3 linked regions of the Callithrix jacchus genome follow. The protein of the gene in region 3 interacts with the protein of the main gene of each other region in a pairwise test. Links are inferred from orthologs where the notes say so. Each region holds a gene or a part of one and is shown on either strand. Other genes may lie near its edges.

What was found.
Region 1: the proteins of PGCKA1 (region 3) and EIF3E interact in binary tests that used the Homo sapiens proteins (3 or more experiments, as listed by UniProt). The two-hybrid records come from large-scale screens. The link is inferred for Callithrix jacchus from reciprocal best matches to the Homo sapiens genes PGCKA1 and EIF3E.
Region 2: the proteins of PGCKA1 (region 3) and PDCD10 interact in binary tests that used the Homo sapiens proteins (3 or more experiments, as listed by UniProt). The two-hybrid records come from large-scale screens. The link is inferred for Callithrix jacchus from reciprocal best matches to the Homo sapiens genes PGCKA1 and PDCD10.

The regions. Positions count from the first base shown.
Region 1 is NC_133517.1:88,833,702-88,843,798, forward strand, and holds the end of EIF3E (eukaryotic translation initiation factor 3 subunit E), read left to right. Parts: intron 1-6,208; coding exon 6,209-6,311; intron 6,312-6,589; coding exon 6,590-6,724; intron 6,725-7,794; coding exon 7,795-7,833; 3' UTR 7,834-7,977; downstream 7,978-10,097. UniProt on the Homo sapiens protein: Component of the eukaryotic translation initiation factor 3 (eIF-3) complex, which is required for several steps in the initiation of protein synthesis.
Region 2 is NC_133518.1:19,308,290-19,319,018, reverse strand, and holds the start of PDCD10 (programmed cell death protein 10), read right to left. Parts: upstream 6,920-10,729; 5' UTR 6,832-6,919; intron 6,660-6,831; exon of another isoform or gene 6,485-6,659; intron 1-6,484. UniProt on the Homo sapiens protein: Promotes cell proliferation. Modulates apoptotic pathways. Increases mitogen-activated protein kinase activity and STK26 activity. Important for cell migration, and for normal structure and assembly of the Golgi complex.
Region 3 is NC_133504.1:156,338,561-156,349,183, forward strand, and holds the start of PGCKA1 (PDCD10 and GCKIII kinases-associated protein 1), read right to left. Parts: upstream 6,193-10,623; 5' UTR 6,079-6,192; intron 5,766-6,078; 5' UTR 5,539-5,765; intron 5,451-5,538; exon of another isoform or gene 5,335-5,450; intron 1-5,334. UniProt on the Homo sapiens protein: Acts as a tumor suppressor. Acts as a tumor suppressor for colorectal cancer cell proliferation by targeting KEAP1/USP17/ELK1/CDK6 axis.

The sequences.
Region 1 (10,097 bases), on a different chromosome or scaffold from region 3:
GGTGGCTGGAAATAATAAGTATTTATGTTGGTACTTGATAAATCCAGCTAACATTTTAATTTGGACTCCAAGGACTTGAAATCTACAATAATGACTAACAAGATCTCAAAATTACCTTTAAACAATACGTAGGAAAAAAAAAGTACTTGTTCTCTGATCCCAAGGTTTTAAACCTAGCTGTACATTGAAATCACCTGGAGAAGTAAAACAATGAGAATTTAAGCTTAAAAATAATAGATTTCCTGGTTTCATCTCAGACCATCTGACTCAAAATCTCTGGGATATAGACTTGAGAATCTGAGATTAAACCTCGGGTGATTCTTTTGCAGTCAGCCTTGGGGAAACATTGCTGTAAAGTAGTGATTTTGTAATACTGACAACACATTAGAATCAAATGGGAAACTCATTGCAGACTCAAGTAATAAAAAATACTGGATGACTGAGCCTAACGGTTAAAAAACAAAAACATATTCTGGAGGGAGACCTCAGTGACTTTGTTTTTAAAAAGATCCTTTAAGGGATTTTGATGCAAGATCTGGCTTTAAAAAAAAAAAGTTAAACTGTTTATTTTGAGATGATTTGTATCAGTTGTAAGAAATAATAGAGACCCCCCCTGTGTTCTTTACTCAGTCTCTCCCATTAGTAACATCTTGCAAAACCACTTTAAGATACAGCAACCAGGATGTTGATGTTGATACATTCAAGATACAGAACATTTCTATCACAAGGATCCTTCAAGCTGCTCCTTTATAGTGATATTCCCTTCCCTGCCATCTTCTCCTTAATTTCTGGCAAACACTCATTTTTTTCTCCAATTCTATATTTTTATTGCTTTAAGAATATGCAAAACATTTTCTAAAAGTTAGTGTTAGCTTCCTAAATGGCAAATACGGTTTGTGTCATGATTAAGGTATAATTAATTAATGGCAGCCTAACTAGTAGTATAGCTCTCCAAAGAAAACATTACAGATGTTAATGACTGCCTCTTTTGACCAATCACAGAGTGGAAAGTAGTGAGTACACTTTCAAAGAGCTTAAAATCCAGAAGAAGAAACAGATGTTAAATAAGTAGACAAATATAAAACTACAAATTATTGAAAATATTTGTAATTTTGGGAAATTTTAAAATTTTATATTTGAAATTAAACATTATTGAAAATAAGTCCATATCATTCTCTAGTCACTCTGCTTTGAAGAGCAATGAGAAGAAAATTAGATAGGTTCAGTGAATCCTGATAACTCTCTAAGTGGAATATCTTTAAGCCCCAAACTAGACTTTTTTGCATTGAATACTAACTGTGGCAAATTCCATTCACTCGTTTATGCTGGCTTATTTTTACCTTTAGTTAAAGTTATTTGATGCTTTTCTGTCTTTTGGGGAATAGGAGGAGGGGAAGGATATGTTGCAGCTTTTTTTCTTCCACCAAAGGACACATTTCAAATGCTGAAAATAGTATTATAAAACCAATAGTTGATTATTAAACAACTCCATTTGTAATTTAGAACATTCTCTGTTAATAGATTTCCTGACTAAATGCCTGAAAGCACGTGATAATCATAGCTTTATAAAAATGCATATTAAAGAATGTTTTTATATAAGCCTATAGATATGTAGGATAAGTTACAAATCTGTTTACCATAAAGCATGCAACATCTGTCAAAAAAGATTACTGTGGTGGGGTTTAATTTAGTGTAGCTGAATAGTTTTATCAGCTATGGTATGTGTCTGAAATTTAAAAGCTGTTGTTTTAAAATAATTCTTGGACCCGTTTTCAATTGTAGATAAAAACAAAGTATGGAAATAATATTTTGAATGTCTATGATAAACATGTTGGAACATACGTTAACATAATTTCCTGGTAGGGCTTACTTTAAGTTTTGAAGTTATTCTACTTTGCTTATTTTGTTGAGTTACATTTTAGGTCTTAAAATTTATTACCACATAATAATTTATATTTAGAATTATTTACTGATAGTTGGGAGAAATAGAAAGGTACGTTTCCAGATGGAGAGAAACAGTTTCAAAGGCCATTATCATTGTATTTTTGCATTATCAATAAGGTTTAGTTAATTATAAGATTATAAAGAGATGTTGGGAAGTTCAGTGAGAATTTTCAGTTGTCACGTAAGGATTTAGCATTTCTCAGTTTTCTCCTGTTTTCTTTGTTCTATTTCCTCCCAGTCATACAATTAAACAGTTTGCACTTAACACTTAATCTTTAATTAGTTGTCTTTAATCAGAAAAGATTTGGATTACTTTTCTTTGGATATGCTGAATAGTTGGCCAAGTCTTCAGTAGAAACTAGACCAGTGGTTCCTATATCCTAATTGTTAAATCAGCAGTATTTCAAAATAAATTGTGCCTATCATATAAAATTTGGAAAGCCAGGTTATTCAAAGAGGTAATTAATAAGACAGGTGAAATATACGTTCCTCAGATCCTTATTTTTCCAAATCTTTGTTCAGATGAGAGGGTGAGGGAGGATGGTGGCTATGGGACCATTCAGAAAAGGAAGACCATTTAAACGATTAGGCAGTGAAAAACTGACAGAAAATCTAGAGTTGAATCAGTTCCTAGATCTGTGGGAACATATATCTGTATCCTTAAGTGGGATCTCTAGTATTTTTTATTTCCTGAAAACAAAAAAGTATTTCATTTTGTGCTAGAACCATGAACATGTTTAATTAAATTTAACTGAGGATGATTTTTTTTTTTGGCTTTGGCTTTTGAAGTAGCCCTTAAGAATTCTGTGCACATCTTATTTAACATATTCAATGTTGTGTTTTTTGTGTGTCAATTGAGCAGGAGAGCTACTTAGGTTAAAGATATTTATAAGGGATTTATAGAACATATTTAAATATCTACCTTAAGCTGCCTACAGACAAGGTTGAGATTTTTAGTGTAATCTAGATAATCTAGAAATCTTGGCATTCAAAATCTGGATTGAACTAAGTATTTTTCTCAGAAATTCTGCATTTTGTTGGATTTTTGTCTTTCGGTTTATTGATAAATTGAATTATATTCAGTAGCATGAGGTAAGCATTTTTGTCTTTTTTTTAAATTGGTTTTTGAATGTTTTTTTTTTTCCCCCCTAGCCACTAGACCACCAGGGAGACAACTTTTTAAAGTTTTGATAGAATATTACACTTATATTTTAAAATCTGTACTATTCTGTATAAAATTGCTAGATTGGAAAAGAATTGTAGATTTTGATTATATCTATTAGTCATTTTTTTGCTTTTTGTTTTTCTTTGCTTTTTGTAGAGACAGGGTCTTGCTATGTTGCCCAGGCTGGTCTCAAATTCCCTGGTTCAAGCAATACTCCTGCCTTGGCCTCCGAAAGTAAAATTTAAAAGATTACATGTCTATTAAACACTTAGTTTCTTTTACTTTGTGTATTTTCATGTTACTTAAAACAAACTAGACTAGTTCCACATTCTTTAATTCAGAATGATAATCAATAGCTTAGATAAACTGAAATGCCATAAATAATATACTAGTATTTCTTGGGCCTTATTTCAGGTTTTTCTTTGACTTGATTCACTAATAAAGATCAACAAATAAATGATCAACAAGCACAGTGCAAACAAAGATCCGCAAAGTATGGATGTACAGAAAGAGGGAAGATAAGAGAATTCTAGTTGGAGTTATTACATAAGATGGAATTTTCTTGTCTTGTCTTTTTTTTTTTTTTTTCTGGAGACAGAGTTTCACTCTTGTCACCCAGGCTAGAGTGCAATGGCATGATCTTGGCTCACCGCAACCTCTGCCTCCCCGGTTCAAGCGATTCTTCTGCCTCAGCCCCCCGAGTAGCTGGGATTACAGATATGCGCCACCACATCCAGCTAATTTTGTACTTTTCAGTAGAGACAGGGTTTCTGCGTGTTGGTCAGGCTGGTCTCGAACTGCCGACCTCAGGTGATCCACCTGCCTCAGCCTCCCAAAGTGCTGGGGTTACAGGCATGAGCCACTGAGCCTGGCCTGCTTTTTATTTTTTATAGAGACACAGGATCTTGTTGATCTTGTTCTGTCACCCAGGCTAGAGTGCAGTGGTATGGTCATAACTTTACTGCAGTCTCAAACTGCTGGGCTCAAATGATACAACTTAGCCTCTCGAGTATCTGGGACTATAGGTGCAAGCCACCAAGCCTGTGTCTGTGTGTGTGTGTGTGTGTGTGTGTGTGTGTGTGTCCATGCACACATGTGCACAGAATCTCACTGGGTTGCTCAGACTGGTCTCAAACTTCTGGCCTCAACCTCCTAAAGTATTGGGATTATAGGTGTGAGCCACACATCCAGCCTAGAATGGAATTTTCATTCTACTGTCTTAAAAATCTAAGAGTAAATATCATTTTCCTAGATAAGCTGTTCCCAGATCTCCAGCCTAGAACTGGTAGACCTTTTTGGATCTCACATAGATAGTTCCTTCTACTTTTCCTTTTTTTTTGAGATGGGTTTCACTTTGTTGCCCATGCTGGAGTGCAGTGATGCCATCTTGGCTCAGTGTAACCTCTGCCTCCCAAGATCAAGTGATGTTTAAGTCAAGACCCCCTTGACTTAAACTCCGTAAAGGGTGGCAACAGAGGATATTTTGTCAACAGCATGTAACACAGTTTATATTTTGTTGAGTGAATATTAGCAAAGGAAAAGGATTGGTTTCGTTTGGCTGGCATATTTGTGAAAGAGAATAATGGGAACTTGGAAAGTTAAAAGTGTTGAAAGGAATTTGGGAATAAACTGGGTATAATAGTACCCCTTATCCAAGGGGTATGTTCCAAGACCCCCAGAGGATGCTTAAAACCACAGATAGTACCAAACCCAATAAATACTGGGTTTTTCTCTGTGCAAACATACCTACGATACAGTTTAATTTATAAGTTGAGCACAGTAAGAGATTAACAACAATAACTAATAATAAATAGAATAATTATAACAATATGTCAGCATCACTACTCTTGTAATTTAGGGCCATTATTAAGTAAAATAATGGTTCCTTGAACATAAGCACTGTGATATCAGGACTCTTGATCTGTGAGCTGGGATAGCTACTATATAACTGATGGGTGGATAGTGTATACAGCGTGGATATGCTGGACAAAAGGATGATTCAAGTCCTGGGTGAGACAGAGTAGGACGGCACAAGGTGTCACCATACCACCCAGAACAGTGTACAATTTAAAGCTTACCAATTGTTTATTTCTGGGGTTTTCTATTTAATATTTTCAGACTGGGATTGACTGCTGATAACAGAAACCAAGGAAAGTGGAACTACAGATAAGGGGGGACTACAATAGTTGGGTTGTAGAACTAACCTGGTAGCTATGTAAGATAGATTGAAGAGACTCAAGAGGTAAAGTAGTTAGAAGACTAAGAAATAGTAATGGAGGGCCAGGCGCGGTGGCTCACGCCTGTAATCCCTGCACTTTGGGAGGCCGAGGTGGGTGGATCACGAGGTCAAGAGATCGAGACCATCCTGGTCAACATGGTGAAACCCCGTCTCTACTAAAAATACAAAAAATTAGCTGGGCATGGTGGTGCACGCCTGTAATCCCAGCTACTTGGGAGGCTGAGGCAGGAGAATTGCCTGAACCCAGGAGGCGGAGGTTGCGGTGAGCCAAGATAGTGCCATTGCACTCCAGCCTGGGTAACAAGAGCGAAACTCCGTCTCAAAAAAAAAAAATAGTAAATGCTATGTAAACAGGGGTTATACTGTATTGGTTTTTCATTTGTATTATTTTTGCATGGTTATTTTTTATTGTTTGGGTTCCCCCCCCCAGATATTTTTTATCCATAGTTTGTTGAATCTGAGGATGTGGAACCTGTGGATATGGAGGGCTGACTTTTAATATGCCCTTATATAGAGGAAACATCATAAAACCTTTTTTCCCCTTAGATCATTACTTTTTGAGCATCTGGTAAATGTAAAGTACTGTTTTAGAAGCTGGAGGATTTCCGTAAATACAGAATATGGTATTTTCCCCTCAAGGATTTTACAGTCCAATTGGTGAAGGGAATATGTCGTGCATAGTACAGGTCAATAGGCAGAAGCATATGAATGAAACAAACACTAGGGGTCATGGTATATAAGAGAAGGGTGATCCAGAAATACCGGAAAGTCTCTATGCAGAGAGTGAGTCAAGACAGTGTACACAAAACTAAGCTTTTGGGCCCAGTTAATTAACATTGCTGTTTTTACTATTTCATTAGCATGTTGGCAGATAAACTGAACATGACTCCAGAAGAAGCTGAAAGGTGGATTGTAAATTTGATTAGAAATGCAAGACTGGATGCCAAGATTGATTCTAAATTGGTGAGTATTATGTTAGCTATGCTGTATACTGTCAGTTCCTGATTTTACTTTTAGGAATTCCTAACTAGGACCTTTTATTACCGCCTTTAATAATTTATTTTGTTTCAGTGTAAAACAGTTCTTTGAAGGCAACAGCAGCCTCATATTTTCTTCTTGCTTGGTAAATACTGTCATCTCTATATAGTGCATTAAGATATATGCAAAGGTAATGTCATGCTCATTACTTACTGAGAAAGTTGTTAACATTGTAGAATCTGTTCCCCTGTGTTTCCTTTTAGGGTCATGTGGTTATGGGTAACAATGCAGTCTCACCCTATCAGCAAGTGATTGAAAAAACCAAAAGCCTTTCTTTTAGAAGCCAGATGTTGGCCATGAATATCGAGAAGAAACTTAATCAGAATAGCAGGTCAGAGGTAAGAACCACACATTTTCTATTCTGTCTGGGATTTAGCAACCATGTAATTGTTACATGACGGTTTTGGAAGTCTGTCAATATGAATTGTAGCTGATTTTGTTTTTCTCTTTAAAGGTATGAACATTTTAAGAAATTACTTAACAGAAATGAATTTTTTCTTAGCTGTATTATATGTATTAAACATGGAAACTGAAAAAGAAATTGTATCCTAGTTTATTGTAACTTTTTCTTTTGCTTTTACTCTTTTTGTGTGACTTCATTAACTCATTTCCTCAGGGTTTTCAACATATCATTTTGATACTGGCAGATCATAACCTACATGTGTAGCCCTCTTTCAGGTGTTCAAAATGTATATTCTTTCTAAATCTAAAGAAACAGTTATGTAAAAATGTTGATCTTATCATATGTATTAGTCCTGATCTTATACAGATTTCATTATCTTTCATCTGATATTCATATCAAAAATTAATCTCCCATTTTGGTAGAGATCCTGCATATTAGATATTAAAGAAACTTGAATGGCCTTATAATTTTGGAATCCTAAACTATCTTTAATGTTGTTTAGACATTATGAATATGTGTAACCGGAGAGTAGGAAGTCATTAGGAAACAGTTGTGGGATATGCAGAAACCCCGTTTGATTGAAATTTTACAACAAATTTGTGTTGGCAGAATAGTCCTTTAGTTCTAAAGAGAAGGATGGATTCGAATGCGAATTGCATACTTTAACCAAGTTTGGAATAACTGAGCTTGAAAAATAACTTTCATATGATGTTTTTTTTCTGTATGCTTCAGGATTTATTTGTATTTTTTATTGTTCCGGTATTAATGATACTGTTTATTGCTATACATTTTAATTGGCCAAAAACTATATCAGATAATGATTTTGATAAGTTTGTTTTGTCCTAAGTGGGACACTGACATCTATGTAGTAATCACAGGAGTTGAGATCTTACAATGGTTTGGCAAGAGTAGTGCTAAAGTAAATGCTTTGTCACTTTCTTCTATGTTAGCTTTTTCCAAAAGTATTTTCTTTTTACCCTGTTGATTTCTTTTTGCATATTTTAGGCTCCTAACTGGGCAACTCAAGATTCTGGATTCTACTGAAGAACCATTAAGAAACAATGAAAAAACTATAAAGGAAAGATGATATAATAAAATTATTATGTAAAGGGTGACTTACATTTTGGAAACAACATACTGAGTATAAATTTTGAAGAACTGGAATAAAATTGACTATGATTCATTTTATCTTGCTGTCAGTTTTCTTGCATGTGCAAGTTTGTGGGTTTTTTTTACTTTATTTTGGAATAATTATATATTCAGAAGAAGTTTCAAAAATCGTACAGATAAGTCCATGTAGGCTGAACCCAGTTTCCCTCAACTTTTTCATTTTATGTTACTGTGGTACAGTATCAAAACCAGGATGTTAACATTGGCACAATGTGTGTGAATAGCTCCATACCATTTTATTACATATGTAGATTTATGTAACCATCACTGCAGCCAAGAGAGAGAACTATCACCATCATGATTTCCCTCATGCTTTTTTGTAGCCGTACCTACTCCCAAACAGCTCTAACCCTAGGGATCACTAATCTGTTCCTCATCACTGTAATGTTGTCATTATGAGAATGTTATCTAAACGGAATTACATAATATACAACCACTGAGATTAGATTTTTTATTCATCACAGTGCTCTTGAGAGCCACCCAAGTTGTCACATATATATGTATATACACACATACATATATATGTATATACACATCTGCACACACACAGAATCAGTAGTTCATTTCTTTTTATTGCCAAATTGTATTCCATGGTATTGATTTACCATATGGTTTATGGTACCTATTGAAGGATATTTTAGTTGTTTCCAGTTTGAGACCATTACAAACATAACTGTTGTTGCTTAATTTCTTAAAGTGGCTCCTCAGTCACTCACTGTATAGTTACGGAGACTAGGCATGTAGGTTGAATTTTATAAGTGTCTCCCTAATTGTTAAATGCAAGCACATACTGTTAACTGGATACTCGAGGCATTTAAGAGAGAACAACGCCCACATGGGGTCTCTTTTACGTCGAAGTGGCTTGATATTTCACTTTGGTTGTTGAACTGACAGCCAGTTAGATGACAGAAACTTGTCACTGCTCTCAAGGAGGGAGTTCAAAGATAAAAAGATACATATATATTGTCCTTTTATTTGACATCTGATCAGGCCACCTTCCATATTCAGTTAAGTTTGGAGACTACAGTAGTTAAGTTGCATCTGCCCTTGAAAGAGCAAGGAGACCTCCCAACATTAAACTTAGCATGGGGTTCTATAAACTTTTTCTGTAGAAGTCCAGATATTAAATCTTAGGCTTCGCAGGCCATATGTTCTCTGTTTTAGCTATTCAATTCTGGCATGTAGCACAAAAGCAGCCTTTGTATGTAAATGAATGCTTATGTCTGTGTTCCTGCAAAACTGTTAACAAAAACAGGCCAAGGGCCAGACTCGTTTGACCGGCTGTGGTTTCCAACCCTTGGCTTGGGGTATTGGTACTTCTAAGCTTTAGTCTAAGGATGCTGAAACTAGGAATATTATTGGTTGGGATAAGCCAAGCGCTAATTTTTTATTCATTCGTAACCAGTGTTATGAAAATGTTAAGTATCGGACAGGAAAAAATACAGAAATATAAAGAGGATTCTTGATAGTACAAAATGGTGCCAATGTGTGGTGTCAGTAACAAGATAGAGCAGACCCTCCGTATTTGTAGCAGCTAATTCCATGAATTAAAAGTTCCGATCTTTATCAAATAGAGCCATAGTTACACAGAACTATATAAAATTGTATAATTACTGAGGCTGTGTGTTATTGAGAAAGATGTTCTCAGTTGAGAAGGAAGGAAACAAGACCTCCATGTTTCCTTCTTCAACAGTAACCAAAGGGCCAAAAGTTCTTACATGAAGACATCATTAATCACCATTTAAGACTATAGCTCAACAGCCACATTAATAGCTAACAAAGATTTCTAGATGATTACATAGCTCAGCAGTTAAAAACAGTTATTAAATATGCCCTAGTGGACTAATAAAAGCCCCAGGTACAAAAAATAGCCAATAGTAAGTATTTGTCGTGTGTCATAGGAAACCAATAGTATTTATCCTGTGTCAGACTTTTTCATGTCCTCTGTTTAAATAAGGAGAAGGAAAGGAAACGTAACATTTGAATGCCTTACTTAAGCCTGGAAATACTAAAATTTAGGTGATATTATTTATATATTATTGATGAAGAAGCATACTTAGATGGTTACCTAAGGCAGGAGTCCCCAGCCTCTGGGCTGTGGACTGGTACCAGGCTGTGGCAGCATTTGACTCTCATAG
Region 2 (10,729 bases), on a different chromosome or scaffold from region 3:
CCTGTAACCTTCACTTTGCAAAAATGTGATTTATTTTTTCACGAAGCATATCAAAAATAAGGTAGAACCTTGGGAATCTCTCAAGTTTTGGCAGTACTGCGTAAATGCCAACTTTAATATGGATAAAGACATAGAAAAAGATGTGCATTTCTCAATTTAAAAAACCAAAGCATTCAAAATCCTTTGGAATTAAATGAAAAAAGCCTTGCAACAATCTAAGCTCGCATAGGGAGCAATTGCTGTCTAGAGGCCAGGTCTGACTCATTTAACATTCCCAACTGGCTTTTGTTGTAGTAACCTTATATAAGTCTGAGGAGGCAGACAGTGTGTAACATCTTAAGGTTTTGTCATTCCATAACTTCAATCTCAGTTGAATTCCAGTCCATCTTGAAGTAAGAGAGAATGACTGAATAAGAGGGAGACCCATTTCAGTGCCAGGGACCAGATGGCCGTTAGAGAAACTATCATTTATTTTTCTATCAGCTCTAACCTAAAAGTATAACATGAACTGATGCACATGGAAGTACTTACTATATTAGAAAGACTAAATATCCATACCATGGTCTTTTAACCCTTTTCCCCTTGTATCTACTAAAGTCTAACTCCCCAAAGGGAAGTTTTATCCATTTCTCTATTTCCTAGTATCCAACAGTATTCTGCATAGTCAGTCTAAGTCAGCAACAGTGTTAGTTGAAGACATGGTGATGAAAAGTCTAACAGCATATACCCTTGAGGGTATGTAGTCTTGCAGGGAAGAGACAGTAAAGAAATGCAGTGTCATGTCACACTGCCACTTGGCATTAACACTCCAGGGAGCATATCTGCTTCACATGATATTCCTACCCTATGCAAGTTCAACAGACACAGTCAACATTTGTTTGAAGAAAACGAAAAATAACTTTATCAAAAATAACCACTGGAGTACGTAGATGATAATTCCATTCTATATACACAAGTCCCAGAATGAGAGATAAGAAACATGGTTCTGCCACACACATCCCCCACCAGACTGAGAGCCACAGTGAGCCCTCACAATGAGCAGCCTGCCACACTAATTGTGATTCTTGCATTATAATATACATATTTCTTTTTTCAACATGGTCTCTGAATAACAAGTCAAACACTTCACCTTGTATTCAAAAGATATCTACTTCAATGCTAGAAAAAAATATGCTGTGTTGAAGTTGTTAGTCTACAATGTGTACTTCCTAATAGGGTTTTTAAAAGTTTGAATAGTAAGTACTTTCCTGCCTGCCACACTGGCCTCAGAATTTAAGACATAACTTCTCTGTAACTACAACTCTTAATGCTAACTTCTCTCCAATGGAGTTCAATCGCTAACATCAATGATGAAATATAATTTCATCATTACATTTACTGTATTGATGAAAAAAAGCATGGTCTCTTGAGGCAGCCAGCCTGGATTCAAATCCTAATTCCAAGTAACTTTTCCTGCAACCTTAGGCAAGGTCCTTAACCTTTCTGTAAAGTCTCCTCATTTAAAAATTGGAGATTATAGTGCCTCTGCCTCTAAGGGTTGTTGTAAGAGAGCCTGTAAAATGCTTGAGACCTAGCACTAAGTCACTTACTACTCAATAAACACTAGCTATTGTATTAGGTTCCAGCTCATTCCCAAGAAGGTTTAAGGCAATTTCACAGGTAATATGCATTCAATAAGTAAATGAATCAAAGGATCATTATTTAGACTGACCTCTGGTAAACTTATTCCCAAGGGACTGGCCTGACTGAATACATGTTAGTGACTACCACTTAACATGCTCCACTGCTGTTACCCAGTAGTTCATAAGCTTGTTAATAAAATTCTTTCCTTTATCTTTTAACCCTATTGGCAATCTTGATTCTATCAACTGTGTAAGAATAAAACTGAATAGCATAAAATCACTTTTGGGTGATTTTAAAAATGGTTATACATAACCAAAAATGTGAGGGTGAGCTTGAAAAATAAGGGTAATATAATACACTTAAGACACATTTAAATTTTGTAGCTTAAATGAGAAAACTGAAATTTCCATCTTCATACAAACAAAACTGAACCACCAAACCACAATGTTTATCTTCCAGCAAATAAATTATTTCTAATTGCTATAATAAATGTGCTTTCATTTTTTATATTATGTGTTTGTGTGTGTTTATCCCTAAAGCATAAGCTTCTAACATTGAAGCTTACTATATTTCAAGTGCAATAAATAGATAACAATGAAATTTAACTTCTAAATCATTGTTACAGTTTATATTATGAAAAAATTACTTATCATGGAAGTGGCTTAAAATTCTTAGTAACGCCTATCATAATGAGCTTAATAGTCCGACAACATGTAAAAAGCAGTACTTGAATTTTATCCTCCACATACTGGTTATGCAAGGTAAGTATGAAAATTTTATCCAAGATTCAAGTAACATCAACACTGACTTTTTAAAAAGTTTAAGATTTAGCAAAGACTTGCTTTTATTAATAAAATAGATAGTATTATCGAATTTTAGAGCCAAATATCAGCAATCTCTTTTTGACAAGATCTTATGAAAGAGTAAACAGGTAAATTCATAAAGGCATACAAGGCTACAGAAATACAGGGCTATCGACCTTATTCTAGACCATACTGTGGTACAGCAAGTAACTACAGAATTTGTTTTCAAGACCAAAACCTAACACAATTTATCCCTAAAATTCAGCTTGCGTGTTTTAAAAATGATGATCTTTTTATACTTAAGTCTATAGGTTTAAAGCAAGTAAGATTCACTTTAGCACTACAAAAATTTTCAGAAAACCCCAAATATAAGTTCCTTTGAAACAAAAACTACTAAATTTTACAAAGCCACCTTGTCTAAATCAAGTGACATTAAAGGTCTAAGTCACAGGAAGACAGCATGGTTTAAAAGAAACAAACAAACAAACAAAAGCAAAGAAAAAGGAAAAAGCATGGATTTTAGAATGCGGAGACAGATCCAGAGTCTAACCGTGGTTCTAGTACCTACTTTCTGGAAACCCTAGCAATTTAAACTTTTTTGCGTTTAATAAGTAAATTTACTTATTTTCTTGATGTCTTCAGCTACGAAACAGTGTTAATATTACTACTTAGAGGAGATAAAAGTTTTGAGGACAAAATGAGATAACACTAGGAAAGAAGAGTCAATAGAAGTCTATATTTTAGTCTACAGTCTAAAGTCTGTAGTCCATGCCTATATTTTATACAATGAATATTACCTGCAAAAAAGCAGGACAGTGGTAAGTCTCTAAAATGCTGTGTTACACAGTAATTTTGCTGTAAATGAACGTGATTCCTTTATCATTTTCATTTAGAAAATTATTCCTGATTTCAGAGACCTCCAAAAATACACATTTTTCTAAAGTTTATATTAAAATTCTGTCAATGACTCCTTTGCATATAACCTAAGTTGCCTAAGTGTTACATAGCTCATTTTAAAGTTCTTATATATTTCAATCCATAAAGCCTATCTACTTTATTCATTTCTATATTTCTGTCCCCAGAAAAGTGCTGGAAGCATTGTGCATGAATATACTCCTTCATTCATTCAGCAAATATTTACTGAACCCTTACATTGTGCCAGGTACTACATATGTGTTGGGGTAAAACATGACAAATGAGAGGGCACTGCTCAGGTAGCTTATAGTTCAATGAGCACACAAATATTTGTTCAAATAAAAACAGAAATAATTAAGTTTCTATTATGATGATGCCACAAAGGTGTAGAGTATGGTGAATACACAGGGGCAACCTGTGCTGGTTTTGGGTAGGAAGGCAAGGCTCCCCTGAGGAATGATATTTAAATTGAGACATGAAAACTGACTACCAGGTGGCCACATTTAGGAAGGTAAGAGTTGAACTGTCCAAGGAGTGAGATGGAATATGTAAAGACCACCATGTCAGGAAGCAGCTTATGCAGTAAGCGAAAGGCATCATAAATGAAAAAGGCTGGAGGTAAGGATGGAGAGCTGGATAGGAGAAGAGATAAATTTTTAGTGTTAAACAGAGTAAGTGGGTAATAGTATTTGAATATTTAAGTCACATTAAGTCTTTTTCTCATGTAAATAAGGGAACTAAGTCTCTACTCCACAATATTAAAGATCTGTAGTCAGAAGATCTCAATTTTGTCTTGCTCCCACCAGTTAAGTAGTTGCATGACCTTGGGCAAGTTACTTAACCTACTTGAGCCTCTTCATTCTCTTTGTAAATATTATCTTACCTATTGTGACTACAGTGATAAATAATACACAGCACCTGTTCTTACAGACCTTACATCCTTAAAGAAAAAGACAGATGTATAATACATGGAAGACATCTTAAGTCCTATGAGAAATAATGTCCCGAAGCTGATATAAGGCTTCTGCAAAGCCCAAAATGAGAAGAAATGCAGACACTGGTGAGCTGCAAACTACGCTTAGAATACATGTGTATATATAACTCTGTGAACTCTTTAACTATCCAACCAAGGTGCAGAGATCTAAAGTGACCATGATACTCCAGCATGTGACTGACTGAAAGATGATAAATACAATACAAACATTAATCCACCAGCCCAGGAGAAGAAATGCCGAAACTATAACTGGCCTCAGAGATAAAGAGAAATTAGTGTTAGAACTGAAACAAGAAAACGAAATCTAAAATACACTGAACAAATGCATTATATTAACTTATTTCCAAATTTTCCTCACAGTTCAAAAGCTCTTTCCATAATGACATAGCTACATGCCAAAGGTTAGAACTCATTTTATACCTCCTTCAACAAAAGGCAAATACCTACACTGTCATCTAGAAAATACATTAATATTCTTGCTTTACCATCAATGATACATGTTCAGTTTATGGTCTACTTACACTACCGCAGCCTTCTTAATCCAGCAAGATTAAGGATTATTAATCCTTCTTAATAAAGAAGTCAATTATCTTCACACAATGTTTCATTTGTTTAACTGATTCTTTCTTGTCTGTGTACTATTATTACTCATGGCACATTATTCCTGATTTTACTTCATTCTATAGCACCATAATTTTTCTATTTTAAAATCGCATTAATTTCCAGACCATCTTAATTTCAATCATCCAGGAACATATCTCTGTTCCGAAAAAATATTTTTGCATTAAAAAGTGAAGCACATTGTTGATACTAAAATAATTGCAGAGTACATTCAAAATTCAGCATAGTCGAATGATCAACTTGTCTATAAAACAGTAACCTATGACTTACTACATGCTAAGAATAAGCCATGATTTTCTACATGCTAACCTTTATGGATCTAAAGTTAAAACAAAGAAATTCTACCATCAATGAATTCTATTACAATTCCCTTAAAAACTTACCCAGTAATAACAGTCATGAGATATAACTGGTCATAACAATTATAGCGGATAAGACTGGCACAGGGCACTACTTTCTCCAAGATATAAAATATAAGCGTACTTTTAAAAATTCTTTAATGTAAAACAAGAATGACTTAAAAGTCACAGATGATGCTAAGAAAAAAATATGCAAGAGTCTGATTTTATTATTTGCAGACACACACATACACAAAGAGCCTAGAGTCAAGAAAATGGGGGAAAAGTAAAATCTCAAACGATAGGATCTTACCTCTAAGAAATGCAAAATACCTTCTTTTCTAGTAATAAGCACATTAAACTCTCCTAAGGCTACATTATTTGGAAAAGGTGTGAAGTCTTGTGAAAGAATTCCAATCCCACTATTATCAGTTTTACAAAATGAGAGTAAAAAGAGTCCTAAGGTAGAAAAAGAATATTCTATTAAGGAAGGGATACATTGTTTAACTGTTGTTCACCCATCCCTTTACCTACCCTTAAAAATGAACTGTGAGAATAGAATATATTTTAATACACCCCCAATAAAAGGGGGAAAATCTGTAAAAGTTGAAATTGACCCTTTTTATTTTTTCCAAAAGGTTCTTTCCTTTATTGAGGAATTTCACTTCAGTTCAAGAAACAACTTTTCATCTCACAATGGCTTCTTAGATGTACTATATGAAATACATTTACTTTGCAACTTCCTCCACCCTTTTCAAAAAACACAACCAACATCCCCAATCTTTCTCTGTCGGGCAGCAGCTCTGGTTTAGAAGCTGGACTCGAACCAGACTAGATTGAGAAAGTCTGTCCCTCCGTGTGTGACCTTGGGCACGTCATATAATCCCTCGGTTTCCTCATCAGCATCCCAACATGAAAGCGCTCTGAAAGCAGTAAAAGAGTAAACATACCTTAGGTATGACACCTAAGAGGGTCAAGCCTTTCTGTTTAAGGCAAAATTACCTCCTTAGAGGAGCCACATCATTAAACTGGAACTGAATCCGTAGACCACAACATTTGTCTCTTCCTTCTTCCAGTGCTCCTCTTCCCTCAAAGGGCATAACCCTAGTCACCCCAAGAGCAGACTCCCAAGCACCCTTTCCTTCCTCCTCCCTTTCTCTTACAAAGCAAGGGGAAAACAACAGCCTCACCTCTCCGTCCGAAGCCACACCTTTAAAGAACCCCACCCCAGGCACATCCGCCCTCTCCCTGCTCCTGGGGCACCAGGGGCCAACCTCGCCTTTCCCCTCCCGCCCCCACCCAAAGGAGACTTCCTGGAGGCGTTCGGGCCCAAGCCCGCAGGCGGCATTTACAAACCGGCTTTACGCCACTCGCGTAGGGTAACCTCGCTTACGCCCGTAGGGCCCCGCTCCCAGCCCCGTCCGCTCCGCCTGCCAGAACCAAGCCCGAGTGCCTCAGCTATGGCCCCTACGTGACCCTAGACCTCTTCTGCTCAGTGGAGAGCTACGGGGACTGGGACAGAACAGCTACATCTTACCAGCAACTGAGGCACTGACTTCACTTCCCACCTTTGCAGCCCTCTTCAACTCCCGGATCAATTCACTCCGGCGACGCCGGAAGGACCCGAGAGGAACCAGGCGTTGTCCGGAATCCTGCCCAGTCGGAGTCGCGCAGAGGCCTATGGGGACTCGTAGTCCTGCTTGCCGGTGTTGTCCGTAATTCCTGCACTCGGAAGACTACACTTACCGGCAGGCCGTGCGGGGGAGCCTGAGGTGATGGGTGGGGACACTCCTAGCCAATAGCAGGATAGTTCCCTTCCTTTGCGGGAGGAGGTGAGAAGAAAAGAGATGGTGCACGGATAGGAGAGGAAGGGCGGGGCAAACCCTCACCTGCGCCAATCAGGGTGCGGGGTCGGGCCGGCAGGCGCCTCACCCATTGAGGGGGCGGGCTGACCGAACCGAGGAAGGAAGTGGGTGAGGGGCCCGTGGTGGGGAACGTGGGGCTATCGGGCTGAGTATGCCTTGCGGGTAGAGAGGAAGCCTCCGGGAAATCTCCCGGGTGAAGGAAGGGCTTGGTGTAGGGACTTGCACTGGACGGAGGGGCAGCTTCCCCAAGAGCAGCTAAGCCCCACGCACGCCGGGGAACCTGACCCACGGGTCGGGGAGGGATCGGCTGAGCCGGGGCTCCCGGCAGAGACGCCTGGGTGGGGCCAGAGGCAGCTCCAGGTGTGAGGCCACAGAGGAGGGGAGAGGGACCCCCCCCAGGGGAGAGGAAGTAGCAGAGCAGCTGCAGAAGTGCGGGGAGCGGGAAGGTACCAAGGCAGCTGCTTTCCGCTGCCTCTGGCCCGGGCAGCTGCAGAAACAGCAGGGGGAGGAGCAACAGCTGCCAAATTCGCCAACTGGAGGACAGGGAGGCGGAGCTTGGGTCCCCGTAGAAGCCGGAGGCGCAGTCTGGGCTGTAGTTTCCCGGGAGAGACGAAAGCAGGAACGAGCGCGGAGCGGAGCGCAGCCCTCCCGGCACCAGCTCCAGAATCCTGACAGGGGTTGCAGGTGTGTGGGAGGTAAGCGCGGGGCGGGGGGGGGTCCTTCTTCGGGGCGTCTGCACTGCCCTGGAGGAAATGTTTTCCAATGGGAATTACAAGACACAGCTATAAGAGTCCGCCTTGGGTTAGGAAACCGGTGCAAACCCTCTCGGGTGAAAGATTTACATTTTTGGACTTTAAGAGCAAAAAAGCAAAAGGAAGCTTGATTCTGGGCATAAAGGGCGTGGTTAGTGTTTTTGGTTTGAGTCGCACCAGTACAACTGTTCTGGGAGATCTCAAGATTGAGAAAAACCCTGCTAATAGAGGATGAGGTGGATGTTATCTGGTGGATGTTATAGGTGCGTAGCCTCTAAAAAGGAAAAATTGTGCTATTGATATAGAATGACTTCCGAACTATTTCACTAGGAAAAGAACTTTGCGTTCTTCTTCAGTGTCTACCCTTTACATTGGTTTATCAGATTGTCCTGCTACCGACCTGTTATCCAGAGTAGTTATTTTGCAGGTTCCTAGAATTGCAAGAGATCCGTTTTAAAGAAGCAAATGCAGGCAGGAATAGTCAGGATAGGATGGGCTCTGACTTAATCTATCAAAAGTGTAACTTTTGCCAGCAATAATGTAAAAATGAATTTTAATGAATGGATAGTTAGCTTTCTTTCCAGTGGCTCTGTAATATTGGAACAAAGACCTGGATTCAGCGTACAATGGGAACATATGGTGTACTTCACTGCTGCTCCTTATTCTCTCATTTGTGTCTGATAATATGTGTACATTTGAAAAACAAGAGTGCATAGAAAGCTGTATGGGAATCTTTTCTCTGGTTAGAGAGTATGCACTTAAAGATTACCCTTAATATGTGTTATGATAGTGGGTTCAGATTTAAAACATGTAGTGTCATAAAATAATAGTTTATTCTCGGTATTAGACCATATGTGTATTCAAAGCAATGTAACTGTAATACCTATGGATGGAAATGTGTTGTCATGCCAGGTAAAGATGCAAGTCTCACCTACCTTTGTGTAATTATGACAAAATTACAGCCTCTTATTTTTAGAGAAGTAGTAAGAAGCTATTTTCCTAGTTCATTTTCATTTTGTTACAGAGGTTCCCAGATTACATGGCTTTTAATCATAGTAGCATATTGCAGCAAATTTTGCTCTGAAATGCCTTCATTGTGACAGTTGTATATTTCGGAGTCTGTCTCAATACTTTAATCTAGATTTTTTTAAATAACTAGGGTCAATAAAATGGAGTAATTGCCTTGTTTTCTCCTGTTTCTATGCTTTCCTGAGTTCTCAAGATTTTAAATGTTATTTTTGTAATGCATTCCAAATTTCTTTTTGAAAAGAAATGGCTCAAATGAATTCTCTTCCCAGCTTAAAGTTCAGTCCTACTGAGTGCTACTACCGATAAGCCTAAGTGACTTAGTGTATAACCTAGTGTATATACTCTTCCCTCCCGCACTCTCACATACCATAGAAATATATAGACAGATAGATCTTAGGAAAACAGCTGCTTTTTTTATTACCCCTAAGCAGATCAGCTAAGTATCAAAAACAGGAAAAAAAAAAAAAAAAAGCAACCTTTTTTTGCTTAGAAGAAGGAAAAAGCAGCAGTAGCTGCTAAACTTAACCACTGTTAAGGATCAGGTTTTATCTTTGCTACAGCACTGGAGAATCTGTTAATTCACATAGCTGATGTGGCCTTGTGAAAATGATTTTTGGGGTTAAAAAAAAGTGGGTATTAGGATGACACCTGGAAAAGACTGTGTTTGCCCTGGTTATTTGTGATTAAAGGGATTGTCTTGAATCAGTCTTAGATTCTTTCTCAGACCCTACTAATTCATTTTGTAAAATTGAATACTTGTTGTCACTGGGTTATTTCCCCTATGTAATAATTATAATACTAGCAATGAAATTTTTTCAGAGCCTTTATTAAAAGATCTGTTTGAAAGAGTTTTACTGGGAAACAGTTAATAAGCAAGCACATGGTTAGAAGATAAATAGCTAAACAGTTGAAATTAAGATGTACTTTGTATCCCAGCTCTTTATAGGTCTTCTGCTCTGAAGTGTGGTAAAGACTAGAATCTCATTAGGAATGAATGAGTTTGTGGTATTAAAATACTGATTTTTTCATCTACTTCCAAGATTTGGGTTCTTTTTACTGTGTCAATAAAAGAGATGGGTTTCAATATCATTTGAAAAAAAGAAGACCATGTTTTTAAATGAGAGAATATCATTGGCAATATATGGCATTTATTTTTTACCTTGAACTTTTGATTCATTAGTTGATAGTCACATTCAATCTCAGGTAATCTAAAGATTTTTCTTGATTGGTGTTGAAAATGTTCATTATATGGCAGTTTATAATTCTATGTAAAATGCTACCTGTGTTATAAGCATATTACTTACTCTGCTCTTTATTTTCATTATTTGTGTATGGCTATCACTGAATATATATGATGAGAAAGGAAAAGCAACAGAGTGCATAATGTCTCTCTTGAATGGAAATTGCTCTGGAGATGATTGTTGTTTAGCCAAAAACCTTGATTAATTTCAAATTTCAATATTCTTTGGTCTTTTCTGTAGAATTCTAATTCTAAGCCTATTGAGTAAAAATAAGCTAGTGTGGATTTCTCTTTAACAGGAGGAGGAGGTTTCACTGATGCATGCAGCACAAAAGAGCAAGAATTAAAGGTTCAAGATCAAATGGTGTTGGTGAAGAAGGAGACAGGGGAATACATATAAAGAAAACTATTTGAGAAACACACCTTTAGCAAAAGAGAAAAACATATTTTATATTTTTTGTTAAATTCTTGTAATCTATGATTCTATGGCCTTTTCTTCCCCAGTCATTAATTTCTAGAGGCCTGTATTCATACTAGGATACATTACTT
Region 3 (10,623 bases):
AATCTAGACTAACATAGCTGGTTCTCAGTTTCTTCACTTGTAAAATAGCATTTCTGCCTTAATCTTTAGTGCTATTGTGAGAATTAAGTTAGACAAGTTATGTAAGGTGCAAGGTGCATATGATAAATTGTGAAAAAGGCCGTGATTCTCCATCCCTCCCTGAATTCATGTCATTTTCTAATGTAACTCTGCAGCCACTCCCATTAGAAAGTGCGGTCTATTTCTCCACCCCTTGAATCTGAGCTGGCTTCTTGAGTTGCTTTTGAAATAGCCTGGAGTGGAAGTAAGTTGGGTCACTTGACCGTAGGCCTTGCTTCCATTCTCTCTTGCAACCAAGTTGAGCCAACATGTGATGAACCCAGGCTAGCCTGCTAAATCATGAAAGAGAGGAGGCTCAGCTGCTCCCCACATGACGTGGCTGATGGTCCACCAACACTGAGAGGTAGAGCTGCCTTGGTGACCACAGATGCATGAAAGAGCCTGGAAAAGACAGTAGTTTGCCCAGCCAAGCCCACCCAAACTGCTTATCTACAGAAGCCCAAGCTCAATAAACGGTGGCTATTTTAAGCCATTATGTTTGTGGTGATTTGTTACGCAGCAATAGAGAACCGATACTGAATATATAAGTAATTTCTCAATAAGCAGTGGCTATGTTTTGGAAAATACTATACTTAACAGAGAATGAGTTGTTCATAATACTGACATTTGTGCTTTTTAGTCAGAGGTAGGAAGATGACTAAACCAGGAATTGGGACTCTGAGATTCTGGTTTCCTCAGCTTTTCCAGTGGGCAGCTGTACGGCTTTGGACAAATCATTTAACGTCTTTGAGACTGTTTCATCATCCGTAAATGAAAGTGGTTACACCAAGTAACTTTTAAAGTTATTTTCCGGCTCTAACAAAGATCAAGTGTCCTTTTTACCAAAATGCAGTACCTATTCCTTTCTAACATAGTGTTGAACACAATTGAACGTTTTTCTTGCAGACTTAGGGTTAATCACAGACCACGTTCACTGTATCGTCTTTGCTGCCTAGCAGTTGGCTGTAACCACATTTCATACTTATCCTAAGAGCTGTACATTGAAACTATAAAGTGGATCTCCTTGCTATGGAGCTCATTAGGAATCAGAAATGAAATAATGTCAAATAAGTTCTAGTAAGAATCTTAAGTATGTGGCTCTTATCAACAATTTGAAGGTAAAGGTGGACTTTTTTTATGCATTTCTAGGTTACAATAAATATTCTGGAGGCCTAAGATTGTTGACAATCTAGTTAAATAAAAGGGACACTATTTTACAGCTATACGGAATCAAATCTTTGTATTTACTGCACATTAATAACCAAGATATATATGATACTCAGTTATCAAATGAGGGAAAAGAATTAACACCAAAATCAAAATTTAAAACTCCTGTGTGTAGACATCTACTCTGCAACTAGTGATCAAGTGAATGAATACATTTAGAATATATTCAAATACACATTGTATTAAAAAGCTATGCATGTGGCAATGAGTCAATAACCAAGGTGACTTCTGTTGTCACACAGGCATTATGTATAGCCTCTCGCATGTCACTAATACTCTTACAAATACAATACAATCCTCTCTGTGATATATAGCAGGCCACGTTGTGGTCAACTGAAAACAATAAAAAAGAAAGGCTACTCTACTGTCCAGTTCCACTAGTGTTAATCAAATGTCAGGGTGATTTTGCTCCCAGAAGGAGTTAAGCTAAATCAGAGAATGTGTATATGATGGCAACAGTTTACCTTAGCTTTGCCTTCAGATTTATATAGTTAAGTTGGCAGAAAGAAGCACTAGGTTGTTGAAAAAATGTGAAATGTAATTGGCCAGCTATATACTAGAAACTTTTTTTCTGTGATTAAAAACCATGAGAAGCCCTAGAGGAACTAGAATCCACATGAAGAACATTGCAATGAAATGTGACTTAAGTTTATCTACCTGGAGAAAATGTATTTTGAAATGACATGTAAATTGACGTCAGAGATTTCAAGTCACCTAACGGGTTCTTACAGTTAAAATCTTAAACACCAATGCTTCCTTAAATATCTTTTGAATCAATTCACTTCTTTCTCTCTTCTAATGTGGATTTTTGCTGCAGCTGCCTTTGGTCTCGCTTGTCTCTTTTCTGTTTCATTCTCATGGCAGCCTGCATGAACTTGCTAAAATAGAGATCTGCTCTGCTTGAAATCCTTCAACGGTCTCTCCCAAGATTAGGATCTCTGAAGACAAGGACTGTGTCCTCAGAACCTCATCGGCCGTCTGGTGTCTCTGGGTCTACACACATGATGTCTCTAAGGCCAGGTCAGGGTTTCATTTACTTTTGGAGAAGCACCTGCATGCTGAACAGAACAGGATTCGCCACTTGTGATGAAGTCTGGATACAAGATGCCTTTTGTCATTCGTTCATATTCATGGTAGCTCAGGGACATCTTTCTCCAGTGCCTGACAGCACTGAGTCAGCATTTTGAGTCTTAATGTTCTGCTTCAGGATACATATTCATTGGCTTGGTGTTTCAAGTATGCTTTAGGAAAAGATTATTTGATAATCTACAGTCCTGAAGATTTTAACTAGCCTCTGTGGGACTATAATATTCTCAGGCAAAAATGGCGCAAGTAGACGAACAATTTCATTTTTCAGTTTATTGTCTCTCTCTTTTTCTTTTCTTTTCTTTTTTTTTTGAGATGGAGTCTCGCTTGGTCACCAGGCGGGAATGTGGTGGTGGAAGCTCGGCTCACTGCAATCTCCCCGTCTTGGGTTAAAGCGATTCTCCTGCCTCAGCCTCCAAAGTAGCTGGGACTACAGGCACATGCCACCACGCCCAGCTAATTTTTGTATTTTTAGTAGAGATGGGGTTTCACCATGTTGGCCAGGATAGTCTCGATCTCCTGATCTTGTGATCTATCCACCTAGGTCTCCCAAAGTGCTGGGATTACAGGCATTCGCCACTGCACCCAGCCTACAGTTTATTTTCTTAAACAGCAGAGTAAGGAATGAGCCATCCTGTGTCTCTACAACTAGAGACATCAGGACTGTAGATTATCAAATAATCTCTACAACTAGAGACACAGGATGGCTCATTGGTTAAGAGCAGGCACTCTAGAAAGGCCACGAATGAGTGACCCATCTGATCTGCACAAAGGTGAAGACTCCAAGTCTGCTTCCCCTAGGATGACCCCTTTGACTTTTCCCAACTCTTCTTTTCTACACACCTAGAAAGTCTCTCTGTAAGCATGTAATCTGTCTAATGACCAAAAAGAACAACCAGAAAGAAAATCTGTCTAATGACCAAGAAAGAAAAGCAGGACATAGGTAATTAGTTACTATTTAACCAAGACTCTAATAAAAGATCCCAAGATTCAGGGTTATCAGAAAAATTGTGTAACTAGAGGAATGTGAAACACAGTCTAGGGAGAGGAAACCCAGCTACCAGGAGGCAGCTATTCAATTATTTGGAAACTGAAGTCTATTCCAAGAAACACAGTGAATGGGCTTCTGGGCACCAAGAGCGGGCTGTTCTAGGAGAAGAGGGGCCGTTCCTACCTGTGCAGTGCCCTACCTGTGCCCTGCCTTAGGCTGCAACTGGATTCTGGCTGGAGCTTAACCAGGTTGTGTGTCCAGGCTCAGAAAGGGTCTGGGTGGGAAGTCAAGGGAGTCATTCCATGTTTAGGATAATAGAACATGTTGGTATGCAAGTTTTTGTCTTCAATCTCAGATATGCAAAAAGCTCTTTGAAGCATGGCAAAGATTTCTATTCTCTTTAGAGAATTGGCCCTATTTCTCTTTAGGTATCAATATATATCTAAATCTCTGGAGCCATTGAGGATCAGGATTACACGTGCTGAATAAATGATGGAGGAGGATCACAGGATGGACACAGAGTGGGCTGAGAAAAGAAGGAAGCACATCTTCCCTTGCTGTCTCAGCGTCTGTTCCTCAGTGACTAAGGCACTCTTCACACTTTAGGGAAATACAAATAACTCTGGAACTTAACTTTACCTTTAAGCTTCAAATTGTTTCAGTTATGTACCTTGTTTCAATTATCTGCCTCCTGACAGTGTTTCCCAGCTGGGACCAGTAGGGTGGTCTATGGCCTTTAACATTTGTCTTATCCTTCAAATAGTATTAACTGAAGGATTAAATGAGGTGGGAAGGGGTAGGCAGCAAATATAGACTCTATTATGTTTAAAAGCAGTAACCCCTCTCCATTTCTTTCTCATTCAACTCTCAAATGCTTCTTATCTTTTCTCCAGGTATTAGTCCTCACAAGAGATTGCTTGATTGCAACCACCAAGGACACCCACAAACCTGGGCGACACGGATCATCAGTAATATTTCCCATGAATAGTGACAGAAAGAAAATAGACCTCTATTCTTCAATGATTTGAACCACCTCTGGAGCACAGACTTCCTCTAAATTCACAGGGCAAATATCTATCATGGGGCAGATATCTCTGCCACCATGGAAAGCAACATAAAATGTACTAAGTCATCAGAGGGAGGTTTTTTTTTTTTTGAGGTCAATTGCTGTGCTGGGGTAGAAAGCATTGATTCTTGCCTTTTATCACTGGAAAATTATTCAGCGGTGCTTTGTGAAAATCTCGCCTCACCAGGGCTGCCAACGTCAATGCAACCCAAGTAATCAACCTGGGAGATGCTTGCCTAATTATTAAATATTTAGCAAACAGTTTGTGACTATTTAACTGTTTGCACCTGGCACCCTCTCACTACGTGCGGCCTCCTGGCACCATGACCTCTTCCCCCCCACCCCATCCACCGCCCAGGCCGCCAGCACCCCTGGAGGGGAGCAAATCCCGAGATTCAAGGACATTTCAAAGAAACAGCAGAGGTCACATTCCATTTCCTTTTTATTTAAAAAAAAAAAATGCTTAAAAATAGGGGAGGGAGAGCTAAGGGAAAATCTCTTGCAGTTTTTCAAGTTCGCACGCACCGCTGAAAGTTCATTAATTAGGGATTTAAAAGCAAAAATGTTTCACACAACCAATCAGACGCCAAGCTTTACCAACGCCTTGGTGTTTAGTTTTGGGAATCTGTAAAAGTCCGCCTCCTCCTACCCCAGTTTTGCCCCTTTTACAGCCCCTTTGTTGAGTTACGAGACTCTTCCCAAAGTCATCAAACTCCGAACTGCGTCTCTCCATTCTCTAATTTTTTTTTTTCAGGGCAAAAGCAAATCAAAAAATTAAAATTAAAAGTAGGCACCACGGAGAGAAGTGGGGGAAAGCGCGCCCTAAAGCCAAGTTCCTCAGGACTCAAACCCTCCTCGCGCGCGCGGGACGGGGGACGGTCCCTACCTGGGGTCGGACGGCGACGGCGGCGGCGGGGTCGCGGCGCCCATGGCTTCGCCGGCCTCAGGCGGCCGCGCCAAGAAACGCAAGCAGCTCCGCGCTGCCTGGAGCCCGCCGAGCTCGCAGCGGCCGCCCCGGCGCGGTCATTGGGCCCGCGTGTCACGTGGCCCCGGCCGCGGGCGAGCCTCCCCGACACGCGTAACCCTTTACCTGCGCTCCGGGAGGATACGGCGGGGCCAGGGATCGAACCCCTGGAGTCCGACGTTCGACGTCTCCGGGGTCGGAGCTGCTGTCCCGGGCGCACTGAAGCAGAAAATCCAAGCGCTTGTTGACCTCGGAACGCGAACGACCATGCCAGCCCACTGCCATCCCGGGACACTCCGTGGTGCCTACTTCAATGTTGCGCTGGAGAGAAGCAAGCTTCCTAGGATCCTGGACTGGAGTAGGGGATAAACAAATGCACGCTCTGGCAAATAGATGTGTACTCCCAAACCCCGCGAACATGCATTTTTCGGTTTCCTCCTCATTTCTGGCATTCGCCGCCTAGACCAGCTGTGAGCTCCCTCGCCAGCCCTGTAGAAGCTACATGGACCAAGAACGGGGCGCCACCACCACGATAATAGCCAGGGAAGTTGTAAACACTCGGCTGCAACCTAAAGGCCGCAGTGGGAGTTCAGTGAACTCATGGTTCCCTGTCCCCCCCCTCACCCACTCCCCCACCATCCCTTTCTTTTCCGGAGGTCTTAGGACCTTGGCCACAACACTGCATCCAATCTCCTGAGCTCCACATTCGTAGCTGTTCCAATCCATATTCCTAAGTGGATGGAGAACTGGTTGCTTTACCCTAGAACTCTGCTTAAGGACAGGACATTCTTTTCACCTGTGCTCCAAAGCAAAAGCTGGGCTTGCCAAAAAATAAATAAATAAATAAACAAATAATGTGTTAAGCAACTGCGCCACCTAGCTTACCCTCTTCTCTTCTTTTCAACTCATCCAGCGAGAGAATAAAACAGGATATTGGAGAGACAGCTGGACAGAGTATTATCTAAGGATGAACATTGTGTCCTTGGGTTTTCAGTGTATCTAATTTAACGATTCCAGCCGCATTCACATGACATTTGCCAGGCTTTTGGAAGTTTGAAGACTCCATTTTTTGAATCCTTCTAATTTTGCAGCGCTGGGATTGCACGCTGTAAAGTGGTAGATTGTTGCCGAAAATTGTATGTGGTTTTACATCCTTTGTCAATAATGGCATTCATGTCCAATAAAGTCGACACTTAATTGGTGTCTACAGGATATTGAAACATTTATCAGGTAGGTTATCTGTCCAAAAAGGCGTTGGTATTTGTCTTGGGTATTTATTTATTATTTGAGACAGGGTCTGACTGTCGCACAGGCTGGAGGGCAGCGGTGCCATCTCGGCTCACTGCAACCTCCTCCTCTGGGACTCAAGGGATCCTCCCACCTCAGCCTCTGGAATGCCTACAGGCACATGCCCACCAGCCCACCATGCTCAGCTAATTTTGTGTGTGTGTGGAGACTAGGATGGGGGTGGGCTCTCCCTAACTTGCCCAGGCTGGTCTTGAACTCCTGAGCTCAAGTGATCTGCCCTCTTTGGCCTCCCAAAATGCGATTGCAAGCTGAACCACGGCTCCCAGCCTGTCTTGGGTTTTAAAGTTTACCGTTCCTAGACTAATAGCATTGGTATAATCTGAGAGAATGTAGTAAAAATTCAAATTCTTAGGCCCCACCCCAGACGTATTGATTCAGAAATAGTTGGGGAGAGAGGGTGAAGAAATCTGTGTTTTAGCAAGTGGTACCCACTCCAGTTTGAGAACCATGCTCTGAATATACACAAGTAGCTGGTGAAGTTCCCCTCCTCTATTAAATAGTGAGGGTTGGCATTCTATAAAACCAGAGGTGCTGCTTTTATTTGTATCCCTAAATTACCAGTATTATGTAATTTGTCATGTTGATACCCTGGAACTGGCCCCTCCGTGTGTCCATATAAAGTGTAACCTGTGCTTCCTGCAGCTCTCTTGGAATGCCAAATTGAGATCTGAGGGGGCTCTTGCAAAACATACGGAAGCAAAACCTACGGTTTCTTGATGCATGGCAGGATGAAAACACCATGATTCATTTCATTTTTTTAGGTGTGCTCATGTTTTTATTGGCACGTAGATTGTTCCCAGCCAATGAGTTATGAAAGATAGAAAAGCTAATTTATTTGAGTGGATTTATCAACATGGTTCCAAATTTGTCAAATAGTTGTAAAAAAGAAACAACATTAAAAAAATTATGGCATCAGTTTATGTTATAACCAAAAACCTCCCCACACCATATTAGGCATTGTAGTAAGGGCACCTGAGAAAGAAACAACCGAGTGGGTTCTTTTTTTTTTTTTGGAGATGGAGTTTCGCTCTTGTTACCCAGGCTGGAGTGCAATGGCACGATCTCGGCTCACCGCAACCTCCGCCTCCTGGGTTCAGGCAATTCTCCTGCCTCAGCCTCCTGAGTAGCTGGGATAACAGGCATGCGCCACCATGCCCAGCTAATTTTTTTGTACTTTTAGTAGAGACGGGGTTTCACCATGTTGACCAGGATGGTCTCAATCTCTTGACCTCGTGATCCACCCGCCTCGGCCTGAGTGGGTTCTTTTTATCTCAGATTTCCCCATGGGATAGGTTGCATATTTCTAATCGGCCAGATGGATGTCTTATCTTTAAACTCTCTAGGTGCAAGTTTATTTTATGATTTTCCTCATTTTCATCCCTGTTCGCTTTACATTCATAATTCTATCTACTCAATTTCAATTGGAACTGGAATTATTTGAGTTTTCTCTCCCCTTCATCAACCACCTCTATCCATTAAGCCCTGAAATTAATCTTGAGTTGCCCCTACTCTAAGCAGTATCACTGTCACTCTTCTAAGAACGGGTTCTAACATTTCTAACTTAGATCATTGACATGTCTTTACTGGTCTCCCAGCTTCTGATCTCTTCCATCTGAAAACCATCTGACAAAGAAACTGTCCTTCCTCAACACTTTTTCCCAGCTTCCTGTTGAGACCAGCCCAGTTTTCCAAAAAGCCAAATGTTGATAGCGCTGAAGCTTGGGAAACTTACACCTGCTGCCTGTTGACCAATTCCTCTTCCTCAACCCTCCCTAATTTCTGTTTTCCTATAGGAGGTTACAGTGAGATGCTAGACACCTGCTGCCTGTTAATCAGCTCCTCTTTCTTGCCCCGCCTGTTTTCTTCCCCCACGTAAACCCTAACTTTAGCCAGGGGAGATTCAAATTTGAGTCTTGTCTCCTGTCCCTCTGGCTAATATCATTCATAATAAAGGCTTCTTCCCTGACAATACTCATTGCCTTAGTGATTGACTTTCTGTGTAGCGAGCAACAGGACCTACCTAGGCTGAGCCCCTGGCTTTTGGTAACACTACTAACTACTGAATAAAGTCTAAAATCCCATCAGCATTTGAAGTCAGCTGAAATATGCTTCAACTCCCCATTTTTGCTCATGCAGCTTCCTTTACCTGAAATGTTTTCTGATATTGACAGCTAAATCCTAATTATTCTTCTAGCTTCAGCTATATGTCCTCTGGGCCAACCTTTTTGAGACTCAGGTTGAATTAATTGCTCTTCTGTAGTGTATCCTCAGCACCTGGCTTTCACTCTTACAGACTTTGAAATCAGTCTCATCTGGTTTAGCTGTGTCTGTTTTAGACTGTAGGGTTTTGTGTGGCAGGAGTCATGCATGACTTTTGAAATCATTCCAGGGCATAATGCCTTGGGCATAGCAAACAAACATTATTTGTTGTGTCCTTTACTCTAGGAAAGAAGATATTTAAGCAAATTCTATTTATTTAAAATGCTTTTTTTCAAATATTTATTAACTTCTCTACATTTTCTTTGAGAACTGAAAGGAGAAGGGTTTAACCTTTTCAACCTAAAGGATATTACCATTTGTGAGTAATGGAATAATTTTCACTGGTGGTAAATTGCACGTTAGTCTCAGCCACATGATGCAGGCAATAAACCAGAATAATTTCTTATTTTCTTAAAACATTAAAGTTTCTCTGAGAACAATTATTTCATGACAACCAGATACAAGACTTCATCTAATTATTTCCTATGCATTATCACCAAAGCTCACCAATACTGCTCTGTTTCTGTTTTATAAAAATATTTTTTGGTGCATGTGTGGATTCGCAGATCCAAGAGACAAGAGATGGAAGACAGGGCATATGGGAAGGCTCCCCTTGGTCCTGTTCTTTCACCAAAGGGAATTTATGAGCAAGACGACTCCTCAGTCATCATCCTTCTCCTCCTTCCTCCCCATCTTCAGAGGGAAGCACATTGCCTCTGCACTTACACAGAGATTTGTTGCTACCTGTTTTCCTGTTAAAACCTAAATCCTAGAAGGCATGAGCTATTTTATTTACCTTTGTGTTTCTGGCAAAATGTGTGACCAAATAAATATTTGATGAATGAATTCATTAACTCTTTCTGGATACCTGAAAAACCTGAGCAACCTCCAGTGATCTTCAGAGCCTAGCCCATCTCCCACCTGCAAGTTGGAAAGTATCTTACAGGTCATTATCAATCGCTAAGTGCCTACTGGCTATTAAATGCTCTATTCTGATGGACTTTGAGTTAAGGAAAAAGACATTGAGAGTGCACTGAAGTCTTGTTTGGCTATTTTCCCTGGACCCCTGTTTCTAGGTTTCCTTACCTATAAATTTAGAATACTAACAGGACCTACTTCACAGGGCTCTTGTGAAGATTAAAAGGCTAAGTACATACAAAGCTCCAAGTACAGTGCGTGGATTAACATAAACACTCAGTAAACATGAACAATTATTATTATTACTGAAGGCCTCTAATCACATCTGCCAAAAATGGGGGAGAAAAACAAACAGCACGCCAATCTAAGTAGTTTATCTTTTATTCATACAAATAATACATACACAAGACTGTATATTGTTTGAAGACTGAAATAATTTTCTAGTGTAACAACTCTGTAACAAAATTTAACTAAATGTAACATTTATGAAAATATAAATCTCTGATTGGGTAATTCTTCCCAACAATACAAAGTTTACATAAAAACATTCAATATGAGCTATCAGTTGCAAACAAGTTAGGAAAAATCATTCAAGTCACTTGCATACTCTATTGGCTTTTACGTAGAACATTCACATACTACATTTAATCCATCTGGGCATTTAATTCTTAGAAATGTGTGGCATGAAGGTTCAACTGATAACGACAGGAATGAGAATGTGTTGCC